3 linked regions of the Notamacropus eugenii genome follow. The protein of the gene in region 3 interacts with the protein of the main gene of each other region in a pairwise test. Links are inferred from orthologs where the notes say so. Each region holds a gene or a part of one and is shown on either strand. Other genes may lie near its edges. The genes, in order: SLN, SFTPC and TMEM79.

Region 1 (7,973 bases), on a different chromosome or scaffold from region 3:
AAATATGAACCCTCTCTCTTGCTTCTTATGTGACCTTGGACAAGTCATGTAACTTCTTTGGGCCTCAGTTTCCTTATCTATTAAATTAGAGAATTGGGCTAAATGTCTTCTAAGATCCCTTTTTGATTTAAAACTGTGATTCCATGAACATGAAAACGGTAATGGGAAGCCCTAATGTGGCAGATGGACTGGTGCAGTGAGGTTAGAAGCTTTCCTTGGAAAGGGGAATAGCATCCAGATGGCAGATGTCATCTTTGTCAATAATCTGAATATTGAACAAACTGTTCAAGAGAGGAAAAGTGATGATAAAGATGAATAAAACATTTGTTTAAGTGGAAAGAAATGTAGAAAAACTCACTTTGATTCTGAATATATTACATATTAATTTAGCGTGGTATTTCCACATGATAGTATCTCTGTCTATTGTATCTATCAGTCTATCTATCTAATCTATCATCTATCATCTATCTATCTGTCTGTCTATCTATCTATCTATCTATCTATCTATCTATCTATCTATCTATCTATCTATACTTTTACATGAGCATATTTGGAAATATATAGATATGGACCAGACCAATCATCTTATTGATACAGAGAACTCTCAAAGAGGAAATTCCCCTCCAAATTTAGTTCCCTGCTATTTATAATCTTAGTTGTCTAGAACATTTAGAGGTAAAATGATTTGTTTAGGGTCATACATTCAGTATATCAGAGACCAGACTTGAACTCAAGTCTTCTAAGCCCCAAGACCAGCTCTCTTTTTACTACCCACACAATCTATCACATACACATAATACATATATACTTCTCTTTTCAGAGAGACTACATTTTGAAGATGTCATCTATATTCAGGGATAATCTGTTATAGCAATTTGGATAGAATAAAATCATGATTATGTGGAAACTTGACTGGTTTGTTCTGTAATATCAATAAATTAAAGTTTTGTTGAATAAAATTATATAGATGATTGTAAGAAGGATCTTTAGAGTATTTAAGAGAACAAACATCTTTCAACAACACTCAACCTCTTTATGATTCTAAATCTTTATGATTCTATACCATTTAGATATATAAAATAGATATGATGATTATCAGTTATATCTAATCATTATATGATACTCCATCTGGCATAATTCCCTCAACTCACACTGGTATTAAGCAGGTTGTGTATCCAGAAGGGAAGCTACTACTACTTTCAGAGTTCTAGGGGCAATCCTTAGGATGGTTTTGGGGAGATTCTGAGTATGGCTATCCTCTTTACAGGAGTTTTAGCTCATGAGCTCTCACTTGTGTGCTTACTTTTAATAATTAGACAGTAGAGTCAATTCCTTAGCAAAGAAAAACATTTACTGAGAGACATAACAAGAAGAAAAGTTACAAAGCATTTCCTTTAAAGCTTGGTGCATACTGTCCCACAAAGACACATACAGTCTATGAGGGAAAGAATAAGCACAATTTAAAGTACAGTGCTAGTGGAGTACATGTGTGGAGCATATGCATAGATAGCCAAGTCAACTCACCAATCTGGATCTGCTGGGTCATGATTTTTTGTTTGTGTGGTTTTGTCTGTTTTGTTTGTTTTGACTTCTGGAGGGTCCTCATGAAGTCTGCTTGTAGAGCATAGCTCTGATGATGAAAAGTTGTTTCCCTCCTCAACCGAACTGATTCCTTGCAAATCATGGTGTCTTAGATGGATAGGACAATTCACTGCTGGAATGGGTCAAGCAGGTTGCTTGGTTACTGAGCTGTCTCCTCACTGGGATCAGTGACTGCTGGGAAAGACCATGCAGCTTGCTTGGCTACTAGATCCAGCTGCTCCTTGACTGAGATGGACAGGTCATTTAGCTCCTAGGCAGCTGCTTTCAGAATGGCTTTGGTGGCTAGCGTGACCATTGAGCTTTTCACAGACCATAGCATCTCTGCTGGACAGGTCAAGTTGCTGGACACCTAACAATAGCTTTCTCATGGATAGTTACAATCTCTTACCATCTTCAGTCACAAGCTTGGCTGGGTGGTACTATACATTCTTCAGCTGGAGTGCTACAATGATCTGTTTAGCTGGAGTGCCATGAGTATCTTTCATAAAGAGTGATGACCCTTAGCTTAGGATTGGCAGGAGTCTCTCTGTGTTAACTCCTTCAGGGCTAGTACTCTAGCCTCCAGGAAAGACATAGGAGAGGTTTAACCTTTCCTATTTATTATTTCTTCCTAGTTCATGGGTGACTTCCCTCAGTGTTAATCTCTATCTTTATTTATGATGATCAGCTATATTTCCATTGGGTCTTATGTAGATAAGTAGCTGGGGGTAAAGGAATTAAAGAGATCTGTTCCTCGGGGAAAGTTACTGGTCTCACTGGTCTTTTCATAGGCAAATGAACTATTTAAGACTAATTAACCTTATGAGAAACAGACTGTTTTCCTTTGCCTCTAGAAAGGCTTCCCCTTTAGATTTCAATGTTGTGAGTCCCTTAACTTCAAAAGGGGAACAATATTACAATTTAAGGAATTGAAAACTACTAAGCAAAACTTTGTCAGTCTAGTTCTGTTTGTTCAGGGTAAAGAATTTGGAATCTAAAGATCTGAATTCAAGTCCTAGCTCTTCCATTTACCAGCAGTGTGAATTTAGGCAAATGACTTGCTTTTTCTGAGTCTTAGTGTCCTGATTTGTAGAATGGTAGGGTCCTGTTAGGTGGTGCAGTGAACAGAGAGTACCCAGCTTGAAGTCAGGAAGACACCTTCCTGAGTTCAGATCTGGCCTCAGATACTTACTAGCTGTGTAACCTGTGCAAGTCAATTAACTTTGCCTCAGTTTCCTCATCTGGAGAAGGAAATGGCAAATCACTCTGGTATCTTTGTCAAGAAAACCCCAAATGGGGTCATGCAGAGTAGGACATGATTGAAAAATGACTTTATAACAATAACAACAAAACCAAAAGTTTGCTATTGTGAGAAGAAGCCTGAACTTGGAGCTCACCCCTGAAATTTGCTAATTGTGTGGTCATGAGTAAGTCACTAAACATCTCTTGAGTCTCAGTTTCCTTGTCGGTCAAAAGGGATTCATAATTGCATCTATTTTACTCAGTTGTCCTAAGGCTCAAATGGGATAAATATGCAAAAGAAGAGAGATAGGGATTGAACTCAGTGATTTTATTGTTCTAGCAAACTACTGGAGAAAGAAACTCTGTGTACTAAAGCAGAGTGTGCAACTTTTCTGCCATTTATAGTTTTAAGAGAGTTGCCAGGGTCACTGGCAGGATAAATGATCTGCCTAACCCTCTGTACAAGAGACTGCAGTTTCTTCGTAGGTACAGTAGGGATAGTTAACATTGATATAGTCCTTTAAGTTGGCAGAACTTTTTGCAAATATTATCTCATTTTATCTTCATAACAACCCTGGGAGGTAGGGGCCACTTCAGGAAGTTGAGGGCTTCTTGGCAGCAGACCTAACGCTTTCTCCACTGCTCCACTTAGCTGCTATTATCAACCTACCCCAACTTACATTTTAGGGTTGTTGTAAGGATCAGTCAGATAATCTAAGTAACCTATAAATTACTCTCCATAGTTATTTAAGAATAATAAAAAGTATTATTTGAAGAGATGTTCTGTAATTCATAGTTCTCCCTGAAAGGCAGTTTATTGTAGTGGATAAAGGGTTGGATTTAGAATCAGAAAGATCCGGGTTTAAGTCCTTCTTCAGACCCATTCTAGCTGTGTTGACCATTTGTAGGTCATTTGACTTCTCAGTGTCCCAGGCAAAACCCTAAGATTATAAATTGTTGATCTGCATCTTGTGGAGAAAGGCGTGGGAGTTCCCTACACTGATTGAGAGGAAAACATTCTTTTTATGAATCTTGGCTGGCTTTTCTTCCAACTTACCCAACTAAGGCAGTTTTTACTTCAGAGAAATACTAATAACCTTTCTTGTTACAGAAGGCTACCAATCACTTTTTCCACAGTTGTCTTAGATTAAAATATACACTAGGGTGATGATCCACAGAGAAAATCGTAGTTGAAATATCAAGCAGCAACAGGTGCAAATGCTAGTATATTATGCTGTCTGGCCTCCAGTCAGTTCTGAAAAAGCTAAAGATGGCTTCATTCAGGACGGAGCGAGAATTTTCTAGTTCAAATAACTCAATCCTGGGTGGTACTCTCATGCTCAGTTCCATTCCTGGTGTCAGTGCTGGTGCATGACTCCCAAATGCCCATTCCAAGGCTAATCTTAATTCTTTTCTTAGTTTGTGAGTCTTAAAAACAGATCCAGCAATCCCTATTTGTTAAAACTTTTCTACAGCAGGAATTAGTGAAAGGTTAAAGGCCCTAACTTAAGGACTGCAAAAGTCAGTAGGAAACACAGCATTCTAGAGGTCTCCATGATTTTAATAACAATTGATCGCAAAGAACAGAGCTGTCCATGTGTAAGTCAGTACAACCCTCTGGCCCCCCAAAGCACAAATAGCCACCCATCTGTCCAGGTTACTCCTTGGAAATGCTTGGTTAATGACATCACTCTGATTGCCACCACCCTTGTACCCCTCCTCCCTGGGGCTGACTACTTTAGCTGCGGCTAAGAGACTGGGAGTCCAGACCGTCCTGGAAAGGCAGCAAGAGCACAGCAAAAACTCAGGACCAAGAATCAGCCCATCATTTTTCATCTCCTGGTAACGAAGAATTGCCATTTAATGTTTATGTTGAATGTCTGTATGCATGTGTGAGTGTGTAAATGAGAATGACAAAAAGTTACTGATTTTGAAAAATGTGCTTAGAGGAAATAAAGATTATACACTTAATATTCCTTATAATATCAGGTGAATAGCAATTTCAGTTTTTTCCACATGGTATGTGGTTATTTTTTCCTCTTCTCTTTTTTAGTCCCTTTATCTTTTGGAGTTTTGCCTCAAGATTATAGATGATAATCTCCTGAAAATTTCCATGCAAATGCATTGAATGTCTGTATTGCTTTACTAATCAAGGTTTTCTGAATTTCCTTTTCATTCATATTTCATGAGAGGCAGTGTGGTTCTGTGGAAAGAGCATTTGAATCTCAGATCTGCCACTTGTGTCCTTGAACAATCATTCCACTTCTCCGGGTCTCATTTCCTCCTCTACAAAATGACAGCATTAGACTAGACCTCTGAGGTTCCTTCTGGCTCCAAATCTATGAGCCTATTACCTTATTGGGGGCAGACTACACTGAGAAGCAGTAAGGTATAGTGAAAACTGTGTAGGATTCAAGGATGGAGAATGTGGATTTTATTGCTGCACCTGTGTCACTTTTGCCTCCGTTTCTTTCCCTGTAAAGTGATGGAATTGGACTAGATGACCTCTAAAGCCCCTTCCAACCCAAAATCTATGAGCCCATGATAAGACACCCAAATACAATTGGATGGTTTGGCAACAGGCACGAAGACTGTGAACTCAACTCTGGATGGGGTCTGAAAGGTGGTGAACATTGGCCTTAAGTCAATCAATCAAGAAGCATTTATTAAGCACTCACTATATGTCAGATGAGAGACAGAATAGTCTAGTACATAGAGAGCCACTAGCCCTAGAGACAGGAAGTCTTAAGTTCTATTCCTGCCTCTGACACATACTGGTTATCTGACCTTGAATAGTAATCTAAGCAACTCTCTAAGACTATAAATTGCAGAGAAAGTATCATCCTTCATTGGCAGGGGGAGTTTCCTCATCTAGGAATTCCTTATGCCATGATTAGCAGCTGTGTGGCACAGTGGATAGAGTGCTGGGCGTAGAGTCAGGAAGACTCATCTTTCTGAGTTCAAATCTGGCCTCAGACACTTACTAGCTGCGTGACCCTAGGCAAGTCATTTAACCCTGTTTGCCTCAGTTTCCTCTGCTGTGAAATAAGCTGGAGAAGGAAATGGCAAACCACTCCAGCATCTTTACTAAGAAAAACCTAAATGAGGTCAAGAAGAATTGGATATGACAGAAATGACTGAACCAAAACAGCATGTCAAGGATACTACATCTTTAGTTCCCAACTCTATGTGCCAGAAATAATGCTTAACTCTTGAAGGGAATCTGCTAAGAAATAAAAGTGTACTGTTCTGCGTCCTTACTGACTTTGCTTCATGTCCCCTAAGGTATGGTGGCTATGTAAAAATGGCCTGAGGAGTTCTTAAAAACTGTCACAGGCTGATAACCTTCAGGGCTTTTTTGTTTTTTGGGGTTTTTTTTAAATTGTTGTTTTATACTACATTTTTTTGGGCTTAATGATGAAAATACTTTAAAAATTGTTTTCAAGTACTAGATTGCAAGATGCTTTATGATGCATAACAAGTGTATTCAAGGTCATCCTCAAAGTGCAAGTAATTCTGCAGGATAAAAATCAAGATAGAAGCAGTATGTCAACCAGCCTATCAGAAGAGAATGCTCTGTAGGGAATTTACAGATATTTTGTTCTACTGAACCTGTTAATCCTGGTAGTTAGTCATCATAGCATTTCAGAGCTGGAAAGGCTCTCATGGTTGATCTGACCCCAAACCATTCTTTTAGTTTCACTATCGCACACAGTTCTGTTTACAAGGTGAGCTTGGCTGGAGTTCAGTGCTTAGACTCTTAGAATCTAGAGTTGAAAGGACCTTAAAAATCATTTCTCTAGTCTCATCTATTTTACAGGCAGGAAACAGAGGCCCAGAAAAGCAAAATGGTTTACCCAAGGTCATCCAGGCCCTCTGACATCAAATACAGTGCCCTTCCCACATCACACTGTCTCTCTTGCTAAGTGAATGATCTTTGGACAAGTTATTAAATCTCTCTTAGCCTCCATTTCCTCTACTGGAAAGCTGGGATAATACTTGCCCAGCCTGCATTATAGGGTTATCATAAGTATTAAATGAGGTAAAGTATGTCAAAATTCTCTGAAAACTATAAATTGTGCCACACATGTAAGGTATTAAAATTATTTTCTTCATCTCCAGAAAGTTCTGCTCACCCACTGCTATGTATGGTTCTGTCTTTAAAATGCCAGAATATAATGGCAGCAGATATTCAGTAGAATTACACAAAAATGTTTTTATTTGAGCCACACAACTAGCCTGCCAGGTAAGAAGGGCAGGTCCTATTCTTTATTTACAGATAAAAAATAAGGACTTTGAGAGTTAAAGTGATGTGCCTTAGGTCATGGAGTTTGTAAAATGGAATGCTGGAATTTGAACATAGATTTTCTGACTTCAAATCTAATTTTCTTTCCCTTCCATTTTTCCATCAGTTAGTTGAGTAGGAGGCAAAAAAAGTCTAATGAATATCTTAATTCAACTATTTTAAAAATAAATTTTTATTGATATCTTTTTAAACATTGTTTTACAAGTCTCCCCCCCCCCAATTCTTTATCTAATTGATTAAAAAAAACTGAACTGATTGAGATTTTTTTTTGGTGGTCTATAAAGAGAGCCATCATCATCCTGGACTTCAGAGGACCTGGATTCAAATCCTTCCTCTAACATTACCTAATTATAGCTGTCCCAATTTATTTGATTTGTGTGGAGCGACTATACAGCCATAGTGTCTGTGTCATATGTGGTTAATAAGTGATTGAATCTGATCAAATTCATAAAATGTGTTAGTATGATACTATACTTTAATACTTCTTGAGCACCCTAAAATATGTCAGGCACTGTGCTAGATGTGACATCAAGATATGACCCCTATTTTTTTTTTTGAGAAGCTTATAATCTTAACACAGCATGGCTAAAATTAGGTGGCACAAGTTCTTATTAAAATAGCAGTACATCTAAATTTAGCACTTACTCCCTAGGACTGGCTAATATGTGAGAGGTGTTTTTAGGATTATATGGATGTGATGTTTGCAGAATTGTGGACACTGGAGAAGGTGGAAAGCTTCTCTGTATTCCTGCCTTCAAATGCCATCCATAAACTTCTAAGAAAGAGATAGCATTCCCTCCAAACAATAGAAGGAGCTCTGTAGCCTCAGTGTGTGTTTCTTTCT
Region 2 (8,254 bases), on a different chromosome or scaffold from region 3:
TATTTTCCTTTTCCTTTGATCTCTTTGGGATATAAGTCTAATATGGTATATCAAGGGGTATGCACAGTTTGGTAACTTTGGGGGCATAGTTCCAAATTGCTTTTCAGAATTCACAGACCAATTCATAGCTTCACGTCTGACAGTAAGCTGGTCTGCCTATTTTCCTGAAGCCCCTGCCCCCCAACATTTGTATTGAATTTACAATCTTCAAAACACTTTCTTCACTTTCATTTGATCTTCACACCCACTCTCCAAGGAAGAGAAGGCAGATAGTATTAATCATAGTTTAAAGACATAGGAAACCAGCTCAGAGATGTGATATGACTTGCCCAGGTTTATACAGCTAGTAAATGGTATAGCCAAAACTAGAACTCAAGCATCTCGATGCTTCAGCATTCTTCTCACTATACTACCTGTATGCTGCCTCTGACTCCCTCTACCCAAATGAAAGTGGGGACCTTGACTCTTTCCATCCCAGAGAGAACATAGAGAATGTCACTATAAAGATAGGCAAAAGATTCAATTCTAGAGAAAGAGATGAATCACTTTGGGTCATGGTTCTCTATGGAAATCTGGTGGAGCCTGTGAACCCATTCTCAGAATAATGTCTTAAAATGTATTAAATAAAACATATAAGATTACAAAGGAACCCAAAAGTTAGCAAAAATAAAGATGTAATAGTCTTCCTCCCATCTGAGTTCACAGACCCCCTGAACTCTATTCAAGCATTCTTTGGGGATCTGTGGACACTAGGTTAAGAACTCTTCATGTAGAGTAATGGTACTCCTTGGGACCTAGATCTGAAATAATAGACTATCAACACTATTACAGAAATAACGTCTGAGATTCAGGTTGTCCCCTTTCAATCAGTTGTTTCAATCAGTTGTCAATCTATCAAACATTCATCTATTGAGGGAGTGTTTGTAAACACCCATCATATGCAAGGGAGTATACTATAGCTTGATGAACAAGTCAAAGATTGTCCTACTCTCTAGGAGGTCATTGGTCTAACTAGAGAGCCAAGATTAACATACATGGAAAGATAACTGAAAATACAAAGCAGTAAACAGTGCCACCATCAATGGTACATGAATACTAGTAGTTCATTCCTGTGGTTTGGAATTGATTGGAAAGGCTTTTCTGGGAAGGGGAGTTTTTTACTCAGGTCTTGAAGGATGGGTCGGATTCAAGATATGATGAAGAGAATAAAAGATGGCTGAAGAATGAAGTTCATAATAGGGGATAAAGATAGGCTGGGTGAAGATTATATAGAACCATGAATGTTAGCAGGGAATTCTTTTCATCAGTCCCCCAGAAATCTTCAAACCCATTAACATGTTGGTGGCTATTCTCAGAGAAAGAGGAAAATAGTCTTTCCATCTGTTTTCTATTCTAGCCAAAGGAAAATTTTCCATCACCTTCTCCCCATAACTACCCCTAAAAGGTAGTGGATTTGAGAGTTTGTGATACCTCCTGTTCATCTGAAGCCTTGAGAGGAAGAAGGTAGGATTTAGAGGAAGAAGTAATCTTATAGTTTATTTAGTCTAAAACTCTGCATCCTATAGATGAAAATACAAGAGCTCAGAAAGGTCGAATGAATTACTTGCCCAAGGTCCCAGGGATAGTAAATGCAGAGCCAGGATTCCATGAGAAGGAGAATAATGACCCGGATGGGGCAGAGACTTGCCCAGAGTCCTCCAGCAATGTGAAAGATTCAGGACAATAAATTCACAGTCTAATAATTTATGCTACAAACTCCCTCCCCCCACACCTTGAGATCTGACTAGATCTCCTGAGAACAAGCTTCTGCACAATTGCAAAGTTCAAGACACTCCCTAGTTCAAGACACTCCCTAGGTCAAGGCCCTCCAGCCCCTAGAGATGCCCACAGGGTCCCCGAGATGCCTTTGGTTCTCCTTGGCTTTCCAGTTGGCCCAGTGCCCCACCTGGCTCCAGCCCAGTGCCCGTGAGTCAGCTGATCAATTCCGATGTTGCCAGGACAACTAGGGGAAGAGGCCCCAGGGAGCTGGCAAGGGTGGGCACTGCAGGCAGGCAGGCTCCCAGTCTCTTGCACCTGGACGTGGCTGAAGCAGCATTATTGGGAAGGCAGGGAGTATGAGGCTAGGATTTCTTTTTTCTTCCTCCATTTTTTCTCCCTTCTAACTCCCCCTCCTCCTGCCCTCAACCTTCTCCTGAGACATTTTTCTAACTAGAGACTTGGGCAAATATTTAAAGGGGCAGTTGGAGGGTTGGGGGTAAGGAGCAAACAATCTCTCCCTCTTCTTCTTCCTCTCCTTTGAAACCTTTCTGAAACCTCTTAGGCCCTCTCAGGGGCCAGGAATCCAATTAGTTGCACAATTTCTAGGGCCTGAGTATACTCTAGTTGTGGGTCATAGGTAGGGGAGACATGTGCATGTGAAGCCAAGGGAACAAGGTGTCAATTTTTAAATTTAAAAAGAATCCAGTAATAGTTGGATTAGGGAAGATAAGGGATAGGAATTGGGGAAAAGGCCTGGCATTTGGAAAATTGGATAGCTGGGAAGCAGTTGAAGATATCAGAAAAAAAGAGGTGAGGGGGGAGTTGGGAGGGACAAGTTTAGAATTAGGGAAAATATGCAGAGGAATCTAGGGGGAGAATGGAGATGGAGTGACAGGAGACTAGTCACCCCGGAAAAGGAAGGCTAGGTGGTGACTTAGAAGAGAGGATCATACCAGTCAATCAGTCTCCTGTGCTAGGTGTTCTTGGGGGATACGGAAACATAAAAATAATTGCTCACATTAATATAGTGCTCTAAGGTTTGCAAAGTACTTGTCACTTTTGTGCCTCATAATAACCCCATGAGGTGGGTGCTGTTATGATCTTCATTTCACAAATGAAGAAATTGACACTCAGGGTAAGTAATTTGCTCATGATAAAGCAGCTGGTAAGCAGAATTAGAATCGAGGGCTTTCTGATTCCCTTAGCTTCACCACAAACCTGTGCCAGAGGCTAGAACAACCCACTGCGAACCCTGGCCTGGGCAGCCAGAGGGGTGGGGAGACAGGTGTCCTGTAGGTTAATGGAGGGCTCTCCCCACTAGTTTGACTCCTAGCCATCCTTCAAGGCCCACCTCCTTCACGGAGACAGCCCTGATGACTATCCCCTGACGATTTCACCCTCCTCCCAACTCCTTTACGGCTTACTGACTGGGGTAATCAGACAATCGTTGATGCTGTTGCATGTTGAGAGTTATCTCTGTGTGTGTGTGTGTGTGTGTGTGTGTGTGTGTGTTGTGTGTTCCCTCCAAGCTGGGCTCCTGGAGGGCAGAGATTCTGTCTTTTCCCTCCTTCATACCCTCTTAAGCACATAGCATAACAGACATGGGATAAGTTGTGCCCCTCTAACATTAGATGTATGAGATGGGATCTGAGAAAGAGAGCCTGAGATGGTAGAAGCAGTGGCAGACTTAAAGTCAGAAGACATGAGTGTGAGTCCTGGCTCTGATATTTACTAATTGGGTGTCAGGCGGCTCAGTGGATAGAGCGCTGGGCACAGAATCTGCTTCAGACATTTACTAGCTGTGTGATCCTGGGCAAGTCACTTAGCTGCTGTCTGCCTCCATTTCCTCCTCTAAAAATGGGGGTAATAATTGTACCTGCTTCTCAGGATTGCTGGGAAGATAAAATGAAACAATGTTTATGCTATGAAGATAAAATGAAACATGTACTTTGCAAACCTTAAAGTGTTGTATAAATGCTAGCTATTGACACTGTTGCTGTCACAACTGCTTCTTCTGCTACTGCTACCACTACGGCTTCTACCACCACCACTACTATTATTACAGCCACTGCCACTACTACTATCACTACAACTGCTACTGATGCTACTGCTACTACTATCACCACTTGCTGTTGTTGCTACTACTACTTCTACTACTGCTGCTGCTACTACCACTGCTATTGCTACTACTACCACCATCACTACTGATACTGCTACTTCTACTACCACAGCACCCATTTGAGCCTTAGTTTCCTCTTTTGCAAAATGAGGATAATTTTAACTGTGTTGTAGCTCATAGGGCTTGGAGGAGAGCCCTTTACATAATCTTTTCTTCAAGGGATTGTTTAGATGGCTCGTAGTCTAGTTGGGGAACCAAGAGTAACATATGACAAATGGTAAAAGATGGTGTATCAGTCAGTTCTCTACTCAAAGGGAATTTGAAGTCTTAAAGAGTAGGAAGGAACATTTGGATTCCAAGGATGATAGGATTCAGACCTTAGATTGCATCCAGTCTTAGCACTGAGGCCCAGAGAAGGGAAGTCACTGGCCCAAGGTCACACTGGAAGTAAGTAGCAAAGGAAGGTTTCAAACCCAGATCTTGCAACTCCAAATTCAGGGCTCTTTCTATTACATGTGGGTGCCTTCATTACTATAGGAAAAGCTCAGTGCTGAATGACTCAGTAAAGTCAAGGGAGGGGAAACAGGGAGTAGGTATGGTGGAGGGGGAGAACCGAACCTATGTGGGGAATTCGTCTTTTGGCTGAAACCTTTGCAATCAGCCTAAGGCCACAGTAACACCCCTGCACCCAGTAGCAATTGTGAGTGCTGCTTCCCTTAGGGCAGGGGTGGGGAACCTGCAGCCTCGAGGCCACATGTGGCCTTCTAGGTCCTTGCATGTGGCCTTTTGACTGAGTCCAAGTTTCACAGAACAAATCCTTTTATTAAAGGGATTTGTTCTGTGAAGTTTGGTTCAGTTAAATAAAGGGCCACACTTGAGGACTCATATGTGGCCTTGAGGCTGCAAGTTCCCCACACCTGCCTTAAGGACTCTGTTTCTGGAGCAAAGCCCTTGCAAGTTCATATAGGAGAAGAACAAATAGAGGAAATTATAGGAATCCAACTGTGCCAGGGACCCTGTTGCCCAAGTCTCTGTAAAAAAAGAATAGGGCAATGCCCCAAAGGCTGAAGAACAGGGGCAGTTTCCAACAGGAAGGGTAGAAACAATAAAAGAGACACTCATGGCAGGTGAAGCACATTACTTAAGGCTCCTTTTACTCAGCTTGAACTTGGAGATGGTTTGCAATGCCCACGAGGGTTTTTGTGTCCCAGGATGAGAGCTCTTAGGCACTCAAACTCTAAATTATCAGAGGCTTTGATTCTGGAGGGTTAGGAACAAACAGGATTCAAAGCTAAGGGCCTGCCACACCACCTCCATTGTGTGCTGTAATATATAAGGTCCGGGGACTAGAAGGCTGGAGGTGTGAGGAAGGCAAAGAGCCCAAAGCAACATGGATATGAGCACCAAAGAGGCTCTGATGGAGAGTGCACTGCCACCACCGGTAAGAGGATGAGAAAGGGCCCCCAGCCAGGAAGCCATGGTATAATGGGACTGAGGGCTCTCCACCAACACCCACTAACCCATACCCTAGGCTAAGTGTTTCATGTACATTTGTCCCCAGAAGCCTGGCACAGGTGTTAGCCTGGGGCAGCCAGGGGTGGAGACACAGGGAATATATGTCTAGGTGTAGGGCTCTTCTCACCTGTCTGACTCCTACCTGGCCTTCACGGCCCAAGTCAAGTCCTATCTCCTCCTTGAAACCCCTCCCTGATTACTCTCCCTTAACTTTTTTCATTCTCTCAATTCCTTTACCGCTTTCTAACTGGGACAATCTCTGGTCACTGAATGTTTATAGTTATCTGTGTGTGTGTGTGTGTGTGTGTGTGTGTGTGTGTGTGGGGTGTATATGTGTATGTTCTCAGCTGGATTACTTGACTACAGAGATTCTGTTTTCTGCCTCCTTTTTATACTTTTCAGGACCTAGAAGTATAGCACATAACAGGAAAGTGATAAATTCTTGGTAATTGGTTAATTGACACTAGGAGATATCTTTAGGAGTTTGTTTATGCAGGGTAAAAGAGTGGGCAACCTCAGGGATAGGATAGCAAAAAATCAAAAAGAAAGAAAAGAATAGAAAAAGAAAGAAAAGAAAAAAAGAGAGACATTAAAAGATCTTTTGTAAAAATACAGATTAAAGAACAGAAGGGAAAACAGAAAGAAGCACAGACAAGCAGGACAGCTTTGAAATATATGAGTTGAATTGATCACATACTTTAAAAAAAAGCAAGCTGTGTATAATGGCAATCTGTAGTTTTGTGTGCAATCTTGTTTTTTGTTCTACTGTATGTATGGAAATGTCTATTTTTATCTGGTGTTTTTAAAATTCAGAATAAAGATAATTTTTTTTTTAAAGAAAAAAAAGAATGGGCACCCTTGCTGATGGACAAGAGTGGCCAAGTGGCAGTGGGGGTGGGATAAGGAGTCATCCAGCCATGACCCCCAGCTTTGACAGTGATTTCCCTGGCCCCTTTTCCCATAACAGGACTACTCCGTCACCCCTCAAGGCCGATTTAGAATACCCTGCTGCCCTCTCCACCTCAAGCGGTTGCTCATCATTGTGGTGGTGGTGGTTTTGGTGGTGGTGGTGGTGCTAGGGGCCCTGCTCATGGGGCTGCACATGAGTCAGAAGCACACAGAGATGGTGAGGGGGTGCTGGAGGGACTGGCAGCTTGGGAGTGGGCTGGCAGGATGGGCAGGGAGGGAAGTTTGGTTTGGGATGATGGGGCACTGTGAGCAGAAGATCATGGGGCTATGGAGAGGGTTGATCATGGAAGGCATGGGGTTTGGAAAGGCTGAGAGAATGGGCACAAAGCAGGGCACAGAAAGAACAGACCCAATTCGACCTGATTAAAGAATATCAGAGTTGGTACCCTCCAACCCTCTCCACACCGGCCCAGGTGCTCTACTCAGTTCATTCTGTCTGGGTAGCAAGAATGGGGTGGGCACTGCCCATAGACCAGCTGGAGGCTGCACTTGGGAAAAGTTCTTGGAATTGGGTAAGGACACTGAAAGGATAAAAGAGGAATAAGCCCACCTGAAATGAGAGGAGGTCTTGGCGGAACTGACAGAGGGCATCCAATTCTCTAGGTTCTGGAGATGAGCATTGGGGGGCCAGATGCCCAGCAGCGCCTGGCCCTCAGCAGGCAAGAGGGAACTGTCTCTACCTTCTCCGTTGGCTCCTCTGGCACTGTGGTCTATGATTACTATCGGGTATGCAAGAGATGCCGCAGGGCTGGTGTTAGGTGTGGGGGGGTGAGGGTGGGGTAAGTCAATCACCAGATTGAGTGGAAGGTGGGGTTCCCATATCTCTTGAGCATGTTTGGGATTTAGCTTAGGTACAAACATGCCTGAACACCAGCCTCTACCTTTGTGCACTCCTCCACACTTCATCCTGTGGTGGTCACCTGACCTTCCTTGAGCTCTTAGCTCCCAAAAGATCAGCAGACTCCAAATGCTGTTTCTCACAATCCACTAGATGGAGACTGAAGCTCTGAACCCTCAAAACCCAGATCTGGATTGAGGGTGAGGTTGTGTGTAGGAAGAAACTTTCTTCAATTTTTTCCCTTCCATGCTCAGCTCTTAATTGCATACAAGCCTGCCCTGGGTGCCACCTGTTACATCACTCAAATGACTCCAGAGGATATCCCCAGTCTAGATGTCATCACCCGAAAATTTCAGAGTCACCTGGTGAGTGGTGCTCCACATTTTCATTACACACTCTAGGTATTTGTATCTGATATCAATCATTCTCCACCCTTGCGGGAATGTCTATTTTTTTTTTTTGTTTTTGTTTTTGTTTTTTAGGCTAAACCTTCTTTGCCTACTGCTAAACTGGATCATGAGGAGGACTCCCATGCCAGCTCAGAGTCCCAGGTGGACCCAGCCTTCCTGGGCACTACTATGAATGTCCTTTGTGGCGAGGTTCCTCCGTACTACATTTAGGGACCATCTGGTGAGCAAGGGAATAGAGGCAACGTTCTTGGAGGGTACTGCTAAGTTGAACCAAGGGAACTGTGGAAAGGATGACATTATGTCTGTGTCTGCCAAGGGGCACTGAACTCAGATGAACCATACTGGGGAGAACTGGAGGGGGTGGAGGAGGTGGATCTTACTCAGGAAAGCTCCGAAGTGGGGGTGGGCAGGAGAGTTGAGAGTCTCATCCACTCTCCTTCCTCTGGAAAGGAATCTTAGAAGTCATTAAGTCTAACTCCCTCATTTTACAGATGAGGAAACTGAGACACAGAGAGGTTCAATAACTTGCTGAGAGTGACATGGCTAGTAAATACCTGAACCTAGGTCCAAGTCCAGAGCTCTATATGCTGGCTCTCAGGGTAACCTCCTCCCTTGGTAACCAGTGTCTTTGCTTTCTAGGTTTTG
Region 3 (8,136 bases):
GGCTGTGGATGTGCTGGGGGGCAGGTGGATCAGGGGAGGGGAGGGGCCGGCTAAGCAAAGGGCTCAGGGCACCGCCCCCCACCACCCTGGCCTCTTACAGAGGGGGAATATGCCTACAGTCTTAAAGCCCAGGATGAAGTTTACCCTTACCACAACCAGAACATCTTCCTACCCTTCCACCTCAGTTCTCTTCTCTAGCACTGCTTACCTTCCTCCCCTAACTCTCCAAATCCATGATACTACTTCCTCGTGATCCCCAACTATGTTTACCACAGGTTCCTTCCCTATCCTCTGGACACTCTTTTCCATTTCCTCTATCCCACCCTCTTTGGCCCTCAATTGGCTCTTCCCCTCCCTAGATGCTCCTCCTCACTGTCCTTCCCCAGCTCTACCTCTCCTCTTACCTTTTTGTTGGTCTTGATAAGCTGGATAACCTCATAGTACACCTTCCTCCACAGCAGCTCCTCTGCTTTCCTCCCATAATCCACTGGATGCAGGAACATAAGCTTGACACAGAGTTCACGAAGCCTAGGAGGGGGCAGGGGTTGGGGAAAGAAAGTTTTCTGAGGTATCTGAAGAGATGAACTGGCTACAAGGAGACATTTGATAACACACCTACTACATAGATAACTGTGCTCTCACTTAAGAGACAGTCTAAAATGATACTGAGTATCCCCATTCCAAAAAAAAACAGAAGTCACAAAAGACATGATACTGAGTATCCCCATTCCAAAAAATAGAAGTCCCAAAAGACATGTAAGAATTTCAATAAACTACAACTCCCCTCCCTAACATCTTGTTTTCTTTTCTTCTGATTTTTCTTTTTCTCTCCTTTCCTCCAGGGTGAAATATAGACAATTCTTCCTCATGATTCAAATGTGGTTCCTATCTCCAATCTACTGGATATGGAGACTGAAGATGAAGCAAGAAAAGTGACTCTGGGAGCTGTTTCCTCTTTCTGCCCTTCAAAAAAACTAAAGATCTTGGGCAACAAGATGACAGTCTTTCTTATTAGGCTATCAGGATATCTCTGAATTTGACATAGCTTACTAAGGATAAGAACAGGGTAAATGAGGAGGGATGGAAACGAAGGAGAATTGAGAACTGTTGTTTGGCAGTTGCCCCAGCTTACTTGTTCCTTAGGCTAATGTTCTCTGGTTTGAACACTTCTTGGTAAGCAGTTTTGTTGCAAAGGATGAGGTCAAGCCGATGCACAGCCTCCACCACTGCCCTGAAGAGAAATACAAGACAGAAAAACCCTGAGCCATGAGTATGGGACGGCATGGGTAAAAGAACTAGGATTAGAAAAAAGGTTAAAGGAGATACCATTCAAACTGAAGAATTCTTGGAACCTATCCTTTGCAAACTTATCATCTCTTAACCACAAAGAAAAGCCATTCTTAATGTCTTGCTTTGCATTAGAGTAGGAACTCTAGGACTGATGAAGGGAGAGGACGCAGGAATGACATTATACTAACAAGCAGAGCAGCTCTCACCTCAACTACTTTGTCTTTCAGTTGTGGAGGGACCATAGTCAGTCTTTACTGTTCCCCTATGTCCTTTGGAGGGTCAAAGACCAACCTTGTCAAGACTCCCAAGCAGATCCAGTTCTACTCTCCTGCCTGGGGTGGAAGCAAGCACTTCTGCCTCCCTGTCAGTAGCCTGGCACCTAGATAGCTATTCTAGTGCCAGCAGGGTAGCTGCCAGCCCCTGGCTAAATGGTTATCAAGGCCTTTTCACAGGCAATCCAAGAAGTACCTAATATCGAGGAAAGGGACAGGCAGACTTCTGGCAGCAGGATTAGGCACCCCATCCTATATCAATAATTGTCTCCAGAGGGTCCCAACTACTTACTAACTCAATATATGTTTTATTCTAACATACTATCTCCTCTCTGGGTTTTCTTGACACGTTCTTATTTGGCTTTCCTAAATAAGTGGCCACTTCCCCTTTGCTAGATTTTCATCCATGTTACAACTAACACCTACCCACTGTGTGTATTGTGTATCCCAGGGTTCTTTCCTGGGCCCTTTTCTCTTTTTCTCTATACTCTCACTTTTCGATCCCATCACCTCTCAAGGAGGCTCAATCATCATTTCTATGCAGATCTATATATCCAATACCAGTCTCTTTCTCCTGAATTCCAGTTCTTTATCACCAATTGGCCCTTGCACCTTTCAAAACAGAATCTCAAACCCAGTACATCCAAAACCAATCTCACTGTTGTTGCTCCCAAAGCCACTGCTCTTCCAAATCATCCTATCAGTCACCTACATTTGCACAATTAGTGCAATTCTCAATTCCTCACATTCTACACATGATGTGTTAGTTATCACATGTACTTGATATGTCCTCTCCACTCACAAAGCCACTACAGAAATTTAGGTGCTGAAAAACTCTTGCCTGGATTACTGCAATGACCCTCTAAATGGTTTCTCTCCCTCAAGTCTCCCCTTAGTCTAATCCATTTCCCAGCTGCCAAAGTGATTTTCCTAAAGTGACAATCTGACTACATCACCTGACTATTCAATAAACTTCAGCAACTCCTTATCCCCTCTAGGATGAAATATAAAATCCTTTTAGGCATTTAAAACTCTCTGCCTCCTTCCCACATTTTTAATCTTTTTTACATATTACCCTCTTCACAGATTCTGTGGTCCAGCCAGACTGGCCTATTTGCTGTTCCTGATGCATGCTACCTCTTCATCTCTGTGACTTTGCACTGGCTATTTCCCAGGTGTAGAATGCTCTCCTTTCTCACTTCTGCCTCTCAGAATCTCGGCTTGGGTCAAGACTCAGCTCAAACACTTTGAAGGAAGCCTTTCCTGGTTTCCCCCAGCTGCTGGTACCTTCCACTTTAAGGTTATCTCGTTTCTCCTTTGCACATATGCATCTTCTCTATATTTATTTATGTCATTCCTCCATTAGAATCTAAGATCCCTGAAAGCAGTTTGTTTTTTTTGCCTCCTCAGGACACAGCACATTGCCAGGCACAAGGTAAGCACTTCAAAAATGCTTCCTGATTAACAGTTTGGTGGGGGGAGGGAAGAGTATGTGAGTATATGTATGAAAAGAAAAGAATCCCCTGATGTGGTAACCCTGTAACTTCCAATATCCCTTTCCCTGCTTACTCAATCACTCACAGAAAGACTGGGATAGCTCCTTATTGTATCTCTCTAGATACAGGTCCTACACTTATTCATGGAATCCGTTCTCTAGATACAGAAATCAAAAAGACACCTTACCCCCAGTTCTCTTCTGCCAAATGCCTTTGCTACATATACATAATAATGACAAGTGATTAGATGGCTCACATCTCATGCCTGAAGCCATGCACAAAGAGAGAATTCCAACATCTGTACATGCATGTATCAACACACCAGGTTTTAAGCATTTCAAAGTGGTGGTTTTTAGAAGGGACTAGATTCTGAGATGATTCAGAGGAGGGTCAGAACAACTACCAGGTGCAGGAGATTAGAGAGAAATCTCGCCCAGTGCCTGCCCACGCTTTGTGCGACAGGCAGCAGTGACACCCGGCAGCACTGAAGAGACACACGTGTCACCCCCAGCCTGCTCTTCATGCATCCAGGGACAGATGAGGGGCAGCTCAAGGTGGGAGCCTTCGGGCTGCTGAATTTGATAGCTGGACTATTTTTGGAGCAGCTTGTATCTCCCCATGCCCTCTGGCTGGCACAGCTGAAACAGGCACAATGCCCACTTGCTGAAGAAGACACAGTAAGCTTTGGCTCTTTCCCTTCTGGGATGCAGCCTGAGAATATGAGGAGTTGCCTTCTCCTGTCCTAAGCCCCCAAGCTGGAGCCAAATGCAAAGACCAATCCTAGCTTAGGAATGGAAAGCTTAAATGCAGCATATGCCACGATCCCAAAGGGAACCCACTTATGGGATGAAAGATTCTGCCAACCTCCCCTCCCCATCTCCCTAGGACCACTCACTTGAGTGAGGAGGCCATCCTGCTCCAAAAAAAGGACTAAAGTCATGACCCACGAGGTGTGGCACGTTATAAATCAGAGAGAAGGCATAAAGTATGTGGAATGAGCCACCAGGCTGAGACTCCAGGTCCCCGGACAGCACACCCATCAACCACTCCTTACACCTCCCTAAAGCCCGTGTCCAATACAGGGTCAGCCTTTCAGCTCCTAGACCCATGCTGTGCCTCCAGACTTCCACGATCCCTCCCCACTGGGTCCCTTCCCTTTTCCTGAGTTTTCTCTTGCAGGCTGAAGGCCTCCCCCCACCCCCCTTCCTTCCCACCCAAGGAATGCCAAAGATCTCACTGTCACCAACACTTCTCAAGCTCTATTTTTATCTTCTAACTCCAACTCGTCCGGGGAACTCAATCCCAACCGCGAGGCCACCGCACATTTCTCCACGTGTCCAACCCACTTCCCACCCCAACTCCAACTCTTAGACCCTAACCCGAGCTCGAAAGTCCCGCCCCTCCCAGCTCCCTCCAAAATCCCTTTCTCCATCTGTACCCGGGATAATCCCGCCCCTTCAACGTGGCCCCGCCCCCGCCTGCCTTTTGCCACCCCGCCCCTCCCCTCCCCCGCCTTCCCCACCTTGTGCCTCTCCCCCCCACCTCCCCGGCAGGTCCTCTCCCGCCCCGGACCCTCTCACCGGTAAAGCCGCTTAGTATGCAGGACCTTGGCCTCGGGCTCACTGCTCTCCGCTGCGGGGGGGCCCTGGCTCATGGTGCCCGGGTCCAGGGGCGGCTCCCGATTACAAGCGCCTGCCACCCACCGCCACCGCCGCCGTCTCCGGCCGTAGCCGCCGCCGCCGCCGTCGCCGGCCCTGCTCGGCCGCCATCGCTGTGAGGCGGCTGCCCGCGACGGCTCCTCCTCCGGCCACCAAATCTCACGAGAACAGCACCGCCGCGCCAGCACCTCCACTGTCGTCAGATCTCGCGAGATCTGATCTCTTCCGGTGGGCAGGGAGCTGCCAATACTAACTCTGGGCAACATGGCCGCTTTTTTAGCTTCTTACCCTTCACGAAAAACTTTATTAACAAAGCCTATGGAAAGGACAGAAGACGATGCAGAGGGCGGAAGCTGAGCTTAGCTAAGCTAAGTCTGATCTGGTGTTTAGCAGGAGGTCTGCCTGTGACCTTATTCTCCTGTGGTCACATAGTCCATTCTTCTGCTTTTAAAATGATTCAAGTAGATGAAGACTCTCCTCTCCTTCCAAAGATTTAATTCCACTGATTTCCCTCCCAGCCTCCTGCTTCACGACCTCCAGCCTGATTTCCAGTGGTCATCTTGCTCAGACTAGACCAGCCCGGTTTAGCTTCGCCCAACTCAGCCCGGCACAACAGGGTTCTCTCCAGTCCTTTTAAGGACTTTCGGGAAAGGGCAGCAATCCTTTATTTCACTCTCATTTCTTGTCTCTTGGAAGACGCCCTTGGTTGCTGTCCAACCTTCATCCTTCCTGGAGATTTAGCCCAGTCCCTAGTCTGGGAAGTGTGGAAATGGAAACAAGTTTTTCCATCTCATAGACTAGAACCCACAAGTTCCACATTAATATCAACCAGTCCAAACCAATCCTCATCGTGTCCTCTCCTAGCCAGATCCACTAGTACAGACCACTCCTTAACACGCCTCATGTGGCCACACCTACACCTTAGGGACAGTGACCTTTTCTCTTTTTTTTCTGTCGGAGGATTCCGAAGAGGGAGGGTGGGGCCTTCCCCTTTAATCCCAGCCCCACCTGCTCTGGTCAGACAGGTTTGGAGCTGCAGGTAAAGGGAGGGAGACACGAAGAAATACCTGCAGAGCCAGTGAGGAGCTGGAGCAGCTCTTTTCCCGGATGGGTCCTGGGATCTCCCTTCTATCTCTCTAGATGGAAAGTAAGGGACGCTTATGGGGCCGGGGTGTGAGGGGGAGGATGAGGTGGAGACCCTGAGGGAAATCAGCACAGTCAATGGTGAGGAATTGGAAGAAAAGGAAGGAAGGGAGAGGAGAAGGGAAAATAGACAGGAACAGGGAGGGAGGAAATGTTCAGTGATTGGAAATAGATTTTCCAGGTGGACAAAGGTTGGACCCTTAAACTTTATCAGTGAGATGGGAAGTTGGCCAAGTAACAGAATGGGCTGTTGCACTGGTGGCTGAGTTTCTGCCTACCCCCCAAACCCTAACCATGGGCTTTTTCTGTGGGTGCTGTTCACTTCTCAGGTTTCCAGCTTACTTCCACAGGATGTATGTGGGGGGGCCGGGGAGGGGGGGGGCGGGAGGCTTACAAGGAGGAGATTGGGAATCTCCAGTTTTCAATGGGGAAAGAGAGGGTATGGCTATCTGAATCTCCAGAGAGATCCTTAGCAGGAGCAGGGGCACAAGATTGATGTGAGGGGAGTGAGTGTCCTGGACCTTGGGGTGATAGGCAGAAGGAGGGACTGAAGATAGATACTGTATCCTCCACTCATTCTTAGATGTTTGATGGTCATGGCCAAGACCACAGCAGTGTTGTGAACCAAGGGAAGGAGGTAAGAGACCTGGATTAGCAGGGATGTCTGAGTTCTGTCTCCCTGACTCATCCTTTCCTGCTAATGTCAAAATGTGACTCCATTTCAGTTTCCCCTTCCCAGGGAAATATTCTTGCTTTCCTTTCTACCCACAACACTTCCTAAGATCTAGGGGAGAAGGGCATTGAAATAATAGATATACAGAATTTTCAAACTAGGAAGAATCTGAGTTAAATTTCCAGGGAAACAGAGATATCTCTTACCATTTCCCTCCAGTGCTCTCCTTAATGACATGAGCAAAATCTTTTACAGAGAGTATGGGGAACTCTGGCCACCATAGGAGAACAATGACTTAATTTTCTCAAGCCCCTTCTCCTAGTACCGGTCCTAAAGCCCTTTCTCCTTATGGATGAAGAAAATATTTAACAAATTCTCTCTCTGCTCCTCCTAGGGTGACGGCAATCCAGTATTATACCCCAGAATCCAGACATCTGGTTCCTTCCTTGCCCCAGCATGACAGAACCCGAGACATTGACTCTGCTGGAGATAAAGGGGCAAGATGCCCTTGAGAAGAATTTGCCCCAGCCCCTCATCCCTAATGGACTCAGATCAGAGGGGGAAGATGGGGAAGAGCTTGCTTCTTGTGAGAATGAGACTGAGAAGGTTGGCAGTGAAGTTACTACTTTGCCCTGGGTGAGGACATCATTAGGTACTGGCCCCCAGCCCAGTGCCCCTTTCCCAGACCCCCCTGGTTGGCGAGGATGTGATAAAGAACCCATTCTAGCTGACCTGCCCCTAAAATCAGAGGAGCCAGTTGAGGAAGACCTTAACCTGATGCCTGAGCAGGCAGCTCGAGCATTTGTGCCAATTGACCCACAGTGCATTGAGAGGAGGCCCCAAGAAGAGCTCATAGTCCACTGTGACAAAAAAGTTGAGGGTGAATGCCAGGCCTTTCTGCTGCCACGGGCTTCCCGTTCAGACCCCCCTGAACGGAAGTGGGCAGAGGCAGCAGTAGAGCCCCCAACTCGCTGTGGGAATTGTAGAGCCTGTGGCCGTGAGGGGTTAAGGGCTGTGGCCTCTTTTGGGGCTGCTCTTATCGTCTTTCCCTGCCTGTTATATGGAGCTTATGCCTTCTTGCCTTTTGATGCCCCCCGGCTGCCCACCATGAGTTCTCGACTCGTCTACACACTCCGCTGTGGGGTCTTTGCCACCTTTCCCATAATTCTAGGTGAGTATTTGTGGGAAGGGAATAGGCATCCCAGAGGGGCACTGGATGCCTGTGTTAAGGGGTAGTTTTCCAAGGAGGGTGAACAAGCTTGATCTGGTACAGAGAAGGTAACAGTGTGTGGGTGGGGTGGAGTAGTGATGGCAATGTCTAGACATGGGATGTGGGGAAGTCTAGGCATAGGAACTGGACTCATCAAAATTCTGAAAGGGCCACCTGCATATCAAGCCTATGCCTCTTCCCATCCTAAGCCCCCCCTTTCCTTATTCTCTGCCTTTGGACTACTCCATTTCACATCTTCTCACCCCATTTCCATGTTTTGAAGCTCACCACACCCCAGCTTCCTATGGATTTGCTCTTATGTGCCTGGTCCAGTTGTGCTCATGTGCTCTTTATCTCATTGCTTCACTCTTCTTCCTCCAGCAACTCTAGTCTT

Evidence for each region.
Region 1: the proteins of TMEM79 (region 3) and SLN interact in binary tests that used the Homo sapiens proteins (3 or more experiments, as listed by UniProt). The two-hybrid records come from large-scale screens. The link is inferred for Notamacropus eugenii from reciprocal best matches to the Homo sapiens genes TMEM79 and SLN.
Region 2: the proteins of TMEM79 (region 3) and SFTPC interact in binary tests that used the Homo sapiens proteins (3 or more experiments, as listed by UniProt). The two-hybrid records come from large-scale screens. The link is inferred for Notamacropus eugenii from reciprocal best matches to the Homo sapiens genes TMEM79 and SFTPC.

Annotation. Positions count from the first base shown.
Region 1 is NC_092876.1:147,262,750-147,270,722, forward strand, and holds the start of SLN (sarcolipin), read left to right. Parts: upstream 1-4,581; 5' UTR 4,582-4,665; intron 4,666-7,973. UniProt on the Homo sapiens protein: Reversibly inhibits the activity of ATP2A1/SERCA1 and ATP2A2/SERCA2 in sarcoplasmic reticulum by decreasing the apparent affinity of the ATPase for Ca(2+). Also inhibits the activity of ATP2A3/SERCA3.
Region 2 is NC_092872.1:612,486,830-612,495,083, reverse strand, and holds the start of SFTPC (surfactant protein C), read left to right. Parts: upstream 1-5,082; 5' UTR 5,083-5,267; coding exon 5,268-5,318; intron 5,319-6,359; coding exon 6,360-6,518; intron 6,519-6,911; exon of another isoform or gene 6,912-6,964; coding exon 6,965-7,087; intron 7,088-7,453; coding exon 7,454-7,564; intron 7,565-7,681; coding exon 7,682-7,819; 3' UTR 7,820-7,829; intron 7,830-8,248; 3' UTR 8,249-8,254. UniProt on the Homo sapiens protein: Pulmonary surfactant associated proteins promote alveolar stability by lowering the surface tension at the air-liquid interface in the peripheral air spaces.
Region 3 is NC_092873.1:380,363,454-380,371,589, forward strand, and holds the start of TMEM79 (transmembrane protein 79), read left to right. Parts: upstream 1-4,958; 5' UTR 4,959-5,863; intron 5,864-6,442; exon of another isoform or gene 6,443-6,496; intron 6,497-6,926; 5' UTR 6,927-6,988; coding exon 6,989-7,703; intron 7,704-8,136. Other genes in the region: nonsense-mediated mRNA decay factor SMG5, read right to left, coding at 1-13, 405-528, 1,133-1,231, 4,639-4,712.